2 linked regions of the Caenorhabditis elegans genome follow. The protein of the gene in region 1 interacts with the protein of each later gene in a pairwise test. Each region holds a gene or a part of one and is shown in the gene's direction. Other genes may lie near its edges.

Region 1 (6,590 bases):
TTTTTCGGAAAATTTCAAGATTTTCAGCTAAAAATCTTTTTTTTTTCTCAAATTTCCGCTGAAACTGTGCAATTTTCACTGCAAAAATGGATATTTTCAGATGAAAATCACAACTTTGTCTAATTTTCAGCCTAAAAATCAACTTTTTCGGAAAATTTCAAGATTTTCAGCTAAAAATCTTTTTTTTTTCTCAAATTTCCGCTGAAACTGTGCAATTTTCACTGCAAAAATGGATATTTTCAGATGAAAATCACAACTTTGTCTAATTTTCAGCATAAAAATCAACTTTTTCGGAAAATTTCAAGATTTTCAGCTAAAAATCTTTTTTTTTCTCAAATTTCCGCTGAAACTGTGCAATTTTCAGCACAAAATGGATATTTTCAGCTGAAAATTCCAAATTTCTTAAATCTAATAGTTAAAAATCCATTTCTTGATTTTCAGCTAAAAAATTCAATTTTTTCTAATTTTTCACCTTAATAGTGGGTTTTTTCAGCTTTTGTAGCTAAAAATTGCTACTTTTTTTCCAATTTTCAGCTTAAAAAATTTTTTTTCGGCAAACATCAAGATTTTCCGCCAAGAATTTCTCTTTTCAGCAATTTTTCACCACAATAATGGGAATTTTTAGCCAAAAATTACATTTTCAGCTGGAAATTCCAGCTTTTCCTGCGATTTTTCAGCTTAAAAATCAATTTTTTTCGGTAAATTTCACGATTTTCAGCTAAAAATTCAAATTTTTCCGCACTTTTTGTACATCTGCATGGCTCCTTTATCGGCTTTTTCGGAAAAATCTGCACAATTCGCATTTTTCCACGTATTCCACTCCTGCTCGCGGAGCATAATTCGCTTGAGCCCGGCAACGAATGCAGTGCCACGTGGCATCGTATCAGCCAGCAATCTATAGCATTTATCCTCACATTCTGACACATATTTCGCTTGATCCTCGTTTAGCACCATTTTTCTGGAAATTTTTTTGATTAAAAATCATATTTTCTACTGAAAATCGGTCAAAAATACAGTTTTTGACTAAAAAAAAAAGCAATTTTTAGGTCAAAAAAATCATATTTTCTGCTGACAATCGGTCAAAAATAGAGTTTTTGACTTTAAAAAAAAGTAATTTTTAGGTCAAAAAAATCATATTTTCTACTGAAAATCGGTCAAAAAGTGCAGTTTTTGACTCAAAAATCGCAATTTTCCGGTCAAAAAATCATATTTTCTGCTGAAAATCGGTCAAAAAATACGGTTTTTGACTCAAAAATCGCAATTTTTAGGTCAAAACCTCGATTTTTCGGTCGAAAACTCACTTTGCCGGGGGTTTAAATCGAGATTCTGCTGTCAAATATTGAAAAATAATGATCGCCTGCATTAAAAAGTACCGTCGGAATGAAGAATCGTTGAGTTGGAGGGCGAGAAGCTGGAAAAAAAATAAAAATTTTGAGATTTTTGGGGGAATTCTGGGAGAAAATCGATGATTTAGTGGGAATTTTGGTCATTTTTCAGCGTTTTTCAGCTTTTTTAAATCATTTTTTCCAGTTTTCAATCATTTTTAAATCGATTTTCATCAATTTTCCAGCCAATTTTACCTTTGGAGACGTCAAATATTTGGTAAAAAACACGTCGTTACTGGATCCTTTTTGCTGCTTTTTCTGTCGATTTTCCAGAGCTTCTTCCTCTTCGGAGGAGAGTTTTTCCAGCTTATTCGACGTCATTAGGGTGAGAACTGCTGTCAAATCCTGAAAAAAAGGGATTTTTGGCGATTTTCAGTTAGAATTTGTGGAATTTCAGCGATTTTTCCGGCCAAAAAACCTCAATTTTCAGTGATTTTCAGCGAAAAATTACCGTTTTAAACGTCAAAAACTTCTCCTTTTCGTATATTGAATTCGGATTTGACATGAATTTTTGAAGGGACCAAAACTGGCGATACATCTCGGGAGTTACTTGGATTTCTCTGAAAAATGAGCAAATATTCGAAAAATCATGTAAAAAATGCTCAAAACTGCGATTTTCTAGCTTAAAAAGTCAATTTTCAGTACGAAAACCGTCTGAAATCGCTGAAAATCCAAGTTTTTCAATTAAAAAACCATTTGGTCTGCTAATTTGTAGTTTGTAGTCTAGCAGACCCATTCTCTACAACACCACATGGGTCTGCTAAATCGAAACTTGTAGTTTGTAGTCTAGCAGACCCATTCTCTTCAAAACCACATGGGTCTGCTAAATCGAAATTTGTAGTTTGTAGTCTAGCAGACCCAAAAAATTCAGGTAAATGATATTTTTCAGTGGAAATTTCTCGCTTTTTTCCGATTTTTCCGTACTTTGAGTTATCCTCTTCGATTTCTCCAGTTTCCATATCCTCTGCTCCTTCCGTAGGTGTTGGAGCCGATGACGTGGCAGCGAGAAGAGCTTCACCGTCGGTTTCAGACTGAAATTTTGCGATTTTTTGCGATTTTTCAGTCCAAAAACCGAAAAAATACCTCGTCGTAGTTGGTAACGTTAAGCGTGTTGAAGTGTCCCATAAAGTTTACACCGGATTTTTCGGTTAGCGGGAGGAATCTGGAAAAAATTGAGTTTTTCGCAGGAAATTTTGGGATTTTTCGAAAATGTTTCGCTTTTTACCTCGAGAGAAAGAACATAATTCTTCCGCAGAACGATGTTTCAGCGGTTCTACTCAAGCGGCGGAGCAAATCGTTGCAGAAGCGTAGAATATTGTTCTGGGCGGTTTCAATGAAGCCGGGCTGCAAAAAATCCGCTTTTTATCGGGAAAATTCTTTGAAAACCGGCTTTTTACCTGCTTAAACTCGTTCATATTCTCTTCTACTATGCTGAAAATCTGCTTACACTCCTCAATTGAGCTCATCTCCAAGAGGTCCTGTAGAGTGCTCAGGGGAGTGTTTTTGGAGCACAAACCTGCAAAAAACTCATTTTTAAACGAAATTTCGAGAAAATAATTACCAAGCTTGGAGCAATTCATCACAAAATGAAAATGCCGCCTTGCAAGCTCTTCCTTGGTGGCTGAAGGCTGCTCGGCGACCTTGAATCCCCGCTTTTTCAGAAACCCGTCGACTTTTAGAAGCACAAATTCGTCGTCTTTCCTGTAAAATTGCATTATTTATCTGATAATTCTTTTAAAAACTCACGCAGTCTTTTTTTCCGCCTTCACAACCTCCTTTAACCCGTCCAAATCCCGATTTTCGATAACTGTCTCCATTTTTTGACCTAAAACATTAAAATTGACGGGTGAAAGTTGAGAGATTAACGACTAAAATTTTTTATTTGTTTATTTTCGCAATTTTAAAATAGAAAATCAATAGAAATCGGTTCAATTTAATGAAAAAATTAATTAATTCGAAAAAAAAATTATCGAAAAAAAATCACTTGCAACGAAGCTCCGAAATAACGAGGCGCGTGTTGTTTACCGTAAATCAAACTTCAGCCAATTTTCTTATTTTTTTTTCACAAAATACTCATCCGGCAACGTTTCTGGTGAAAAATCTGAATTCATCAAGTTCTAAGGAGTATTTTAACATAGTAAACTTTGAAAAAACATATTATCTATCTGCTACATGGCGTTAGTTAAAAATAAAATACTTCAATTTCCCTTTAATCGATTCCTATGAAATTTTTCTTTAGTTTATTAGAAAAAACCATCATAAAATGTGTATTTTAACTTCAAAAAATTAGGTTCTCAATGCTTGAAAGCTTGAGAAAATTAATTTCCAAAAATTTGTTCACAACGATGCTCCGAAATAACACCCTGCGTGTTGTTTAGCGACACCGCCGAATTCATAATTTTCCTTTTCATTCGGTTTTCTTTGATTTTTAGCTGGAAATTCCGATTTTTTTTGCATTTTAAGCACAAAAATCAGCTTTATGAGGTTTTCTGACAGTTTTAATGCGTAAATTTGTAAAATAACTCGAGAAATCGCTTGGAATCTGATTTTTGAGAATTTTTTGCATTATCTTTGTTTTTGCCGGATTTTTAAGAGTTTTCAATGATAATTGTGCATTTTTGCCTAATTTTTTGCTTGTTATAAGTGACTTTATGTAAAAAATCTCAAGAAAATCATTTAAAATCCGAGAAATTGAGCTAAAAATCGATATTTCCCGAAAAACATGTGAAAACTTGTATTTTTTCAGTTTTTCTTCAGCTTTTCCCCAGAATTCCCCACTAATTTTCTTTTATTTTTTTCTTTTCAGGTAACGAAATGGCCAGTCAAGCCGCCTCAAAAGCCGTCACCTTCGCCTACAACGGCACGATCGCCAGCACGCTTCGCAAGTTCGCATGGAGCAACTTGTGGGGAGGACGCGAGTACGGGCTCCAATTCCACGACACCTACTTTGAGCCGGCTCCAGAAGTCACCGAGGCTCTCAGACGCCTTAATCTCCAGGAGCCACACGTTTTCGATCAGAGAAAGGTGAGAAAATCGATTAAAAATTGGAATTTTCAATCTTTTTTTACTTCAGATCCGTCTTTCACGTGCCCACACTTTGGCTCTCCACGGCGAGAAGCTTCCAAAGGCTGAATGGACTCAATGGGATCAGGTAGCTTTTCACTCGAAATTCAACTTTAAAAAATCTATTTTTCTTCAGGAATCGTGGTACTTGAAGCCATATTTGGACGAGATCGAGGCAGAGAAGAAGGCTCGCGCCGAGACATCCGGACTCATTCCACCATACCAAATGAAGCAACATTAGATTCTTCGAATTCTTCAAAATTATAATTTTCCGCGCCCTTTTTTTTCGTCTTTTTCTGTTAAATCACCTCTCTCAACCACGTTTTTCTCGGCATTCTAGCGGGAAAATCGTGTGAATTTTGAAATTGTGAGTAAATTTTGAGTTAGAAATTCGATTTTTTTTTGTTGTTTCACAGTCAAATCAAACGCGAATTTTTTCAGAATTTCAGACAAATCAGATGATTCAAGTGTCTGCTAGGCTACAAACTACAAATTTCGATTTAGCAGACCCAAGTGATTTTGAAGAGAATGGGTCTGCTAGGCTACAAACTACAAATTTCGATTTAGCAGACCAATGGGTTTTTTAATTGAAAAACTTGGATTTTTTGCGTTTTCAGACGGTTTTCTCACTGAAAATTAACTCCTTAGCCTGGAAAATCTCGATTTAAAGCAATTTTTACAAAATTTTCACTTCTAATCTCCAAATATTCCTCATTTTTAAAAAATATTTTTCAGAGAAATCCAAGTGACTCCAGAGATGTATTGAAAATTGGTCTGCTAGACTACAAACTACAAACTTCGAAACTTCAAATCGTGACATTTTATTCGATAACCAGCCGATGACCGCGCCTCCGGCGCGGCCAACGACTGGCGGAGTTTAAAATGTATAACAAATAGATGTCCTTTTAATCATTCAAAAATGTCTCATTAAAAAAAATTGAAACTTCATCGATTAAATCGCATTTTCTCCTTCCATGGTATACTATTCAGAAAATTCAAAGAGACAGTTAGAATGTTCTGATTTTTCTACTACACATTATCATTATCAGGCTTTCGAAAAAATTCCACAGGGTTACAGTTTTTTTAATAAGTTAACAACTTTCCTTAACTGGAGAAGTCTGAATAATTAACTACTAATAGTAAGTTCTTTGAATATAGATGTAACGAAACAAATAAAAACTCCTACAGTTTTAGGAGGTTGTAGAGCATTTCAGAACTTTTTTAAATTTTCCAGATGATTCTAGAACAGTCTAGAATTTTCTTGAAACTTCCAGAAGGTGCTGAAACAAAAAAATTGATTCCAGAACAAAAATTTGGATTTCCCGCCAAATGTTTTCCTCAGAAAATTTGAATTTCCCGCTAAAATTTCTTTTCTCATAAATTTTGAAGTTCCCGCCCATATTTTTAAGGGTCTCACCACGATAGGTCTCGCCAGTTCCAGGTGGTACTTAAGCTAACAAAAAGTTTCTCAGAAAATTTGAATTTCCCGCCAAAAATTTTTTCTCAGAAATTTGAATTTCCCGGCAAAATGTTTTTCACTGAAAATTTGAAATTCCCGCCAAAATGTTTTTCACTGAAAATTTGAATTTCCCGCCAAAATTTTTTTCACTGAAAATTTGAATTTCCCCCAAAATTTTTCTCACAGAAAATTTGAATTTCCCGCCAAAACTTTTTCACTGAAAATTTGAATTTCCCGCCAAAATTTTTTTTCACTGATTTGAATTTCCCGCCAAAATTTTTTTCACTGAAAATTTGAATTTCCCGCCAAAAATTTGGGTCTCACCACGAAGGGTCTCACCACGATGGGTCTCATCACGATGGGTCTCACCACGATGGGTCTCGTCACGATGGGTCTCGTCACGATGGGTCTCACCACGAAGGGTCTCACCACGAAGGGTCTCACCACGATGGGTCTCACCACGATGGGTCTCACCACAATGGGTCTCACCACGATGGGTCTCACCACGAAAGGTATCGTCACGATGGGTCTCACCGCGATGGGTCTCACCACGATGGGTCTCACCACGAAGGGTCTCACCACGATGGGTCTCATCACGATGGGTCTCACCACGATGGGTCTCACCACGATGGGTCTCACCACGATGGGTCTCACCACGATGGGTCTCACCACGATGGGTCTCA
Region 2 (7,151 bases), on another chromosome or scaffold:
AATAACCCATATGAGATATTCATCAACGAAACTTTTCGGACACTGAAAATATTTTAATTGATTATGGATTTCTGAAGCTCACTCGTACCAGATTTCCTGTAAAACCACATAATGGCACATCAACAGGACGAGCGTTATTTTTTCTAGATGCCCACATTACACCTTCATCTGAATAAAGAGCGTTGAAAGTCTGAAATGTATACGATATATTTTGACAATCCCGACTGATCGATATATCTTACCGCACTCATATTTTCTACATAAATAGTTGCCATTCGAGTATTGTTATTATTTTCATCAAGAGCCAAAAGAAAAAGAGTTGGATTACGAGTGCCTTTTTCATTTATGGTAACATTTCCAGACATTCCAATAAAACTTTGAGGAAAATATCTCATGAAGGCAGTTGCATTACGATACTGGGCTATTTGTCCCGCTTTCAGCATTTTATCAAGTGCAACACCGTAGGCATACACAGCATCATGCAGTTGACCAGCATAGGTGGCAGCCTAAAATATTGAACGATAGTTTTACATTTTTGGAGTAATTTAATAGTTTGATGAATAACACACGCTTCTTTTCTGAAAGTTTTACTTCTTCAATACCTACCACTGTAAAGTTTTCCCCTTCACAGTCCTTTGTACAAAAGTAGGGAGCCTCTTTCATTCTGGCAATTATTTCTTGTCCGAATATTGTATAATTCGTTGCAATTGATCCTTGTCCCATCATCTGAAACATCATGATTTTTTGGCCTTCTTGGGTGGCTTCCGTCAGATAAAATATATTAGTTTGATAAGGCTACAAAAATGAAAACCTACGTCACAAATAAAAATGGATTGCTTGAAAGCTTTTAAAGCTCGTGTGTCGTTTTCATCAGACCCAGTAGATAGAATCCAAGATGGACGTTCACCTCCTCCAAGCAATGGAACAACTGAAATAAAGAATGTTTCGAAATACTTTCATGTGGATCCTACCGTATCCCTTTGATTTAATATCAGAAAAGACGTAGACGTATTCATCCCCAATCATTCCAGCTTCTTCCGCTGCCAGCAACCACTTTCGGCGCAACCCAATTCCATCCTTCATACATGTTACAATTACTGTAATTTGAGAAATGTGAATATTAAAGTTTAAGTTAATCTTACTTCTTCCTCTAGATTGAATCTTTTTCAGAGCCTCAATCATTCCATCATTTGAAATGTCGGCAACCTGGATGGAATAAGCAAGAATGATGTCTCCAAAGTATGATACTACTTGCTGAAATTCTCTTGTATAAAGTTGACACACCTTTGTAATAAACCTGTAAATCATTTCTCATTGTAACACATTTCTCCGTGTCTTCTTCAGTGAAATAAGCGTATACAAATTGACTCCACTCATATCTTTTCAAAACAGCTCGAATAGCAACTCCGAGACTTCGCTGCCCCGCCGACAGAATTCCGGCATTTGGAAATCTTTCGAAATCATCTAACTGAGCAGCGTTTACAAGACCCCACGCAATAATTGGTCGATTGAAGTAGTTAGATACAATAAAAGCAGCTAGCGTAGCTGAAAACATAACTGGTTTTTAAAGATTGGATCCAAAAATTAACTGTTACCAAAACATTTGAAAAATTTACTTACGCTGGTTCATAGTGGGCCCAATGATGACGTCCACGTTGTGCTTCTCTATAAGATCAACAGTCATTCCAGCGGCTTCAGATTCTACGCAATCGTCAAATTCAATAGTAAAACTGAAATTATTTTCAAAATTTACAAGATGATATGAACTATTAAAACTCTTCAATCCGGCCTGTCTATTTTTTTTTACAAAACAGTATGGCATTAGAAATAATCTACTTACTTGAATTCCCAACCACTCATTAGATTCTCCCTTTTCAATCTATCAACTGCAATTGAAGCTGCTGCTGCAGATGTACGATATCCAACAGTGATAGGTGCACTTTGAAAGTCTCTACAGTGAATAAATCCCACTCGAATCACATTTCCAGTGGTACCTGTTGCAACTTGGGGAAACATAGGTTTAGGTAACAACTGAAAAAAAATCATTTTTATTTTGTGGAATTCGCTTTCAAAACCTACCGTAATCACTAAAAACAAAACTAGAGACATTGAATAGAAGGGCTTCATGATTATTTTCTTATGCTAAACTGGCAGACAGCAGATCTTTTTATATCTGCACAAGGGGCGGTGGGATTTATAGAAACTTAAGTTTACTACGCCTGCCGCCTAATCCGTGAAACCTTATTTTTATATTTTTCCGCCTCCCGAAACAGTTGATACGTGAAAAAGCACGGAAGAGAAAAAAGCTTCTTTTGGACTTGATTAATCTGTTGGTCATGAGAAAGCGTGACACAAGGTAGGTTACGGTAGCAATTGCGTAATTAATCGGATCAGTCTATGCGCATTTCTGAAACATTGGGGATTTCAAATCTAGTTTATCAAACAGATACAAATCACATTGACATCTCGTGGAAACAGTCTGTAAAGTACCGCAAATTTTACAATTTTTGATATTATTGTCGTTAAACAAGTTCCATTTCAAATTTTTTATTGAATACGGTAAAAAAACAAGAGAGGCAGCTGGTTGAAGTGAGTCACTCTTGTTGAGTTTTCGTTACTGGAAACCTGAATGAAGATAGTTTTTAACTTTAGCATTACGCCTCATTATTTTCCTATTTCCTTTTTACTATTTTACTTGTATTTTTAAACTTTGTTTAGCACATTGAGCACATAAAACCAAATGTTATAAATATCCTTATCATCAACCCATCGGTTTCTTTTTAACTTTTTTCTTTCTCGAATTTCAATGACCCGGAAAACCACCACATCATATGAAAATCGAATCTAAAAATTTGCAGATACGCATCTGTCCTGCTGCGCTCTTTTTTTATTTTTGAATGTTTTTTTTTCTGCAAACGTTGGGAACAGTCATCCAATCCTTCAACCGTTCGTCTCGTTTTGAATGACAAACGTTCTCTTTCCGTCCTCTGTTTGAGTATATTTACATTGCTAATTCAAAAAAAAATAGTATAGAATATAATGATACTTAGAGATAGTTCTGGCATAAAGTTTAAACTTGAATGAAATCATCAATGCCATTAATAACTGTGTCACTGCATTAGTTTATCAGCAAGTGTGCCAGCAAAAAAAACGTTTCGAGACGATTCGATACATTCCTGAAAAACTTCGATAAAAGGGAAGTATCCAAACAACCACACCCAACTTTCATCATTGACTCGCTGTTTTGCTTTTTATTTTTGTTAATCTTCCTTACAATTAGTTTTAAAGTTTAAAACAAATATTACATGTTAGAAAGAACTGTATTTTGGTCAGTTTGTTCGAATAATTTCGAAATCTAAAACCTTTTCTTTTTGATGATTCGTCGGAGTAGATGTTTCTCGAAGGAGGTAAAAAAAACCGTGGGCGATTCTTGTTTGCATTGAGGATAATAGAGCAGTAGTAGAAAAGCAGGGAGTGTCAACTCAGTTTTGTCTTCTTCTTCCCCTATTTCTGTCTTACTTTCGTTTTGTTTCTTTGAAATAATTAGATTTTCAGAAACTATTATAAAATGGATCGTCGTTTTCCACCATTCTCCCCATTCTTTAACCATGGCCGGTAAGTTTCTAAATTCTCGTGTTTTCGGAAACTTCTATAGTTGAAGTAACATAACTTTCTGTAAATTTTCTTCTTTAATAAGTGACGTCACTCAAATTGTACTCTGCGCCGCTAGTTCTTAAAATACACAAGAATTTAATTTGGCGCGATTTCTAAAAATAAGCTAGCGAGAGGACTTTGTACTCCAGTTTAGCAAATAATGCTCTGAAAAATCATAAAGACTGGAGATTTTGACATATTTTTCTGCAATTAGAAAATTAGAAAATTAACTTTAAAAATTTTACAAAACTCCTACAAACAAGTTTTCTAGCAGATTCTTCGATGACGTCGACTTTGATCGCCACATGATCCGACCATACTGGGCCGATCAAACAATGCTCACTGGACACCGAGTAGGAGATGCTATTGATGTTGTGAACAACGATCAAGAATACAATGTATCTGTAGATGTTTCACAGTTTGAACCAGAAGAGTTGAAAGTGAACATTGTTGATAATCAGCTAATCATCGAAGGAAAGCATAACGAGAAGACTGATAAATATGGACAGGTGAGGGTTTCCCTCCTTCTTGAAAAACTCAAGTTTTGTATGAAGCTAGTGCAACTTGAAAATGTTTTCATGCATCCTTAGATTAGCTCTCAAGATCCTGAAACCTTACTCGGAAAAGGGCAAAAAGTTATCCAAAATAAAGGCCAAGAGTTCTAGATTATCCTTCCGCCTGTTACGCAATACAAGGAAGCCAAGCAACTCATTTCCGAGCTTATAACGAAGTTGTACTAAAGTCTAAAACCTCGTTGTGCATACTTTCAGGTAGAGCGTCACTTTGTCCGGAAGTATAACCTTCCAACAGGGGTCCGTCCAGAACAAATCAAGTCCGAATTGAGCAACAATGGAGTGCTCACTGTCAAATATGAGAAGAATCAGGAACAGCAGCCAAAATCCATTCCAATCACAATTGTGCCAAAGAGAAACTGATTTCAGTTACCTAAGTGTCTGTATTTTAACTATTTCAAAAATATTTATTCAATTCCATTATTGAAGTGACAATATAAACATTTTGTTTAGACTCCAACAATCTTTTGAACCGTAATGAATAGAGCATATGGGAACATGGATGGCCTCTTCACTTTCACATAAACTGAGCAGAAGTTGAAATCATCATAATAATCATAATCGATTCGAACTCCTTGTGAGTTTAAATCAACTTGCATTGAAGCGATTGAAGTATCGTTTGGTGATCCAATCGTTGAGAAAACCTTGAATTTAATCATGAAATCTTTTCAAATAGTGACGAAATTATACCTGTTGTGCTAGAGCAAGTGGAAGACTTCCATTGATAACTGCAGATGATACAATGACGTTTTCGAGTGTTTTATCTTGACAATGAGATTGACACCATTGAACTTGGGATACATCTTTTCCGCAATTGGAAAGTGAAGCGTCTGGAAATTTCTTAAAATCGATAGGAAATCTTTTAAAATTAGTTTAGAATACTGATGCAACACATTAAACATGATAAGATTCATTCTTTCCTGTTAGCAGATTAATTTATAATTGATGAGCTTTCTCTATCAATGACGTTTTTTTTTAGATAACTCACCAAAGTTGGTATTAAGTGCAACGTCGGTCTTGACTTTTACAGAAGAATCAGCAAGCTTCACATGGGAAGAATAAGTGAGAGTATGTGACATAAAGTCGTTCTATAACAATTTATATCAAACACTAGTGTTTTCTAATTTTGAACCCACATTGACACAGAATCCATTCAAACTGAAATAATTATCTGGCTCATAAGCATTGAAGAAGATATTCTTAGCATGTACTTGTGCCCATGTAGAAGGTTTTTGTGTCAAATCACAGGTAACACTGGCTCCAGCCAAAACTGTAAAAGTCGAGAGCAAGACAAACAAAACACGAGAGCACATGGTTACTACTGATAATGAGCCATATCAATTTCCTTTTATAGACGAAATTTTTGTAACTCTTTTAGTGACACTTTCTGGTTTCTGAAACTGATTTGGTTGTTTGCTTTGCACTTATCGAGAGGTTGAAGAGTGGGTGGAAAGTCAAAAATCCGATTAAAACAAGGAATAGTATTCAGGAAATACTTTGAAATGTTTTATACTTTATCATGTCGTTTATCAGGTGATTTGATATTCAAGTGCCAGAAATTATTATATTCTCGTAACTGAAAGTCACCATTCATTTATCATTTTATTCAACCCGAAAAGAATGATGATTACGTGAAAGTTTCTATTGACTATCTACATTGAATGATAATTATTTTCCAGCTGGCTTGAAATAATGCACAGGTAGTTTTGAGCCAACTCCAGAACCAACAAAACATTTGCATTTTCCGACTCGGCATGGAAGACCATAACAATTGTCTGATGTTTTTGTACATTTTGTTTGATGGCAGAATGTCAGAAGTACTTTGACGAAAAGTTTGTATCCGTGAGAATGGAATGCATTGACACAATCACAATTTCCATTGGAATCACAACCATTTCGTAGGCCACCACAATCCAAATCACTGCTGCACTTTTTGTTAGTAATGCAAGCATTACAGTCACATAGTCCAAGCTCACTTCCGAAACATTTTCCCTGAAATTTACAGACTTACATTTTTTAGTGTACCTATTAAGGGGGAGCAATGCCCATTGGATTTAATTTAATTTAATTTAATTTATTACGATAGTAAGATATCGTGAGGTAGAGAAAAAAAGAACACACATTAATAGATACAAACCATCACAAGTGGTTACATAAACAAATTACATAAATAAAACGAAACAGAAATAAAAAAGAGATGAGAAGAAAATAATGGCTACATTGGAGAAGAAGCAAAAAACACAAATATCGATGTATAAACGGCAAGAATAAATGATGGATAGAAGTGAGGATAAGGTAACATTAGATCAGTGTTGCTTCATTGTGGGTAGTGTTCTGTTGACAAAAAAGTGTCTCCTAAGTTTAGATTTTCCTGTGCTCCAGATATATTTCTTTTTAGAACGAGTTTGGGTCTCTTGTTGCTCAAAAAACTCAGATGTTTTTAAGTCTACTTTACCAGTATTCATTCTGGTTACTTGGATTCTGTCAATTATTTTACGTCTCGTGCTTAAGGTTTGGAGGTCGAATAGTTCGTTACGTTCCATGGCAGTTTTGTAATCTTTATCAGTTGGATTAATATATCTTTTTTTGATTCTACTATAAAGGCGCCTAGTGAATGCGTTTTGTACAGACTCTATTGCTTTCTCATCCGATTTTTTTGTCGGAGAAGACACTACTGTTCCATATTCTAACGAGGGCGGATGAAAGTTTTGTATAAGAGAATCATTAGTTTCTTATTGGAGGTACTGTACTGGTTGAACATGTTGGCCAGTTGAAATTTAGCTAGATTGATACATTTCCTCCAATGCTCAGAGAAATCCAGCTTTTCAGAGATTAAAAATCCAAGGTCTCTGGTAATAGCTTTTCGCTCAATAGGGTAGCCGTCTAGGTGGAAATCTGTTCTACGTTTTCCTACTGTGACGTGAA

Evidence for each region. The genes of interacting proteins can lie anywhere in the genome.
Region 2: the proteins of T02H6.11 (region 1) and hsp-17 interact in a two-hybrid assay, tested with the Caenorhabditis elegans proteins (one large-scale study listed by BioGRID).

Annotation. Positions count from the first base shown.
Region 1 is NC_003280.10:698,727-705,316, reverse strand, and holds T02H6.11 (Cytochrome b-c1 complex subunit 7), read left to right. Parts: upstream 1-4,191; 5' UTR 4,192-4,199; coding exon 4,200-4,409; intron 4,410-4,458; coding exon 4,459-4,536; intron 4,537-4,584; coding exon 4,585-4,689; 3' UTR 4,690-4,835; downstream 4,836-6,590. Other genes in the region: thoc-1 (Death domain-containing protein), read right to left, coding at 743-958, 1,302-1,411, 1,581-1,730, 1,837-1,945, 2,310-2,416, 2,469-2,547, 2,611-2,729, 2,783-2,901 and 2 more.
Region 2 is NC_003283.11:8,382,332-8,389,482, reverse strand, and holds hsp-17 (SHSP domain-containing protein), read left to right. Parts: upstream 1-3,555; 5' UTR 3,556-3,568; coding exon 3,569-3,615; intron 3,616-3,925; coding exon 3,926-4,163; intron 4,164-4,424; coding exon 4,425-4,589; 3' UTR 4,590-4,675; downstream 4,676-7,151. Other genes in the region: gcy-7 (Guanylate cyclase), read right to left, coding at 1-42, 89-190, 243-506, 607-726, 816-928, 972-1,097, 1,143-1,254, 1,298-1,545 and 3 more; F52E1.14 (ZP domain-containing protein), read right to left, coding at 4,676-4,870, 4,917-5,056, 5,215-5,314, 5,363-5,539; F52E1.5 (Chondroitin proteoglycan 3), read right to left, coding at 5,895-6,218.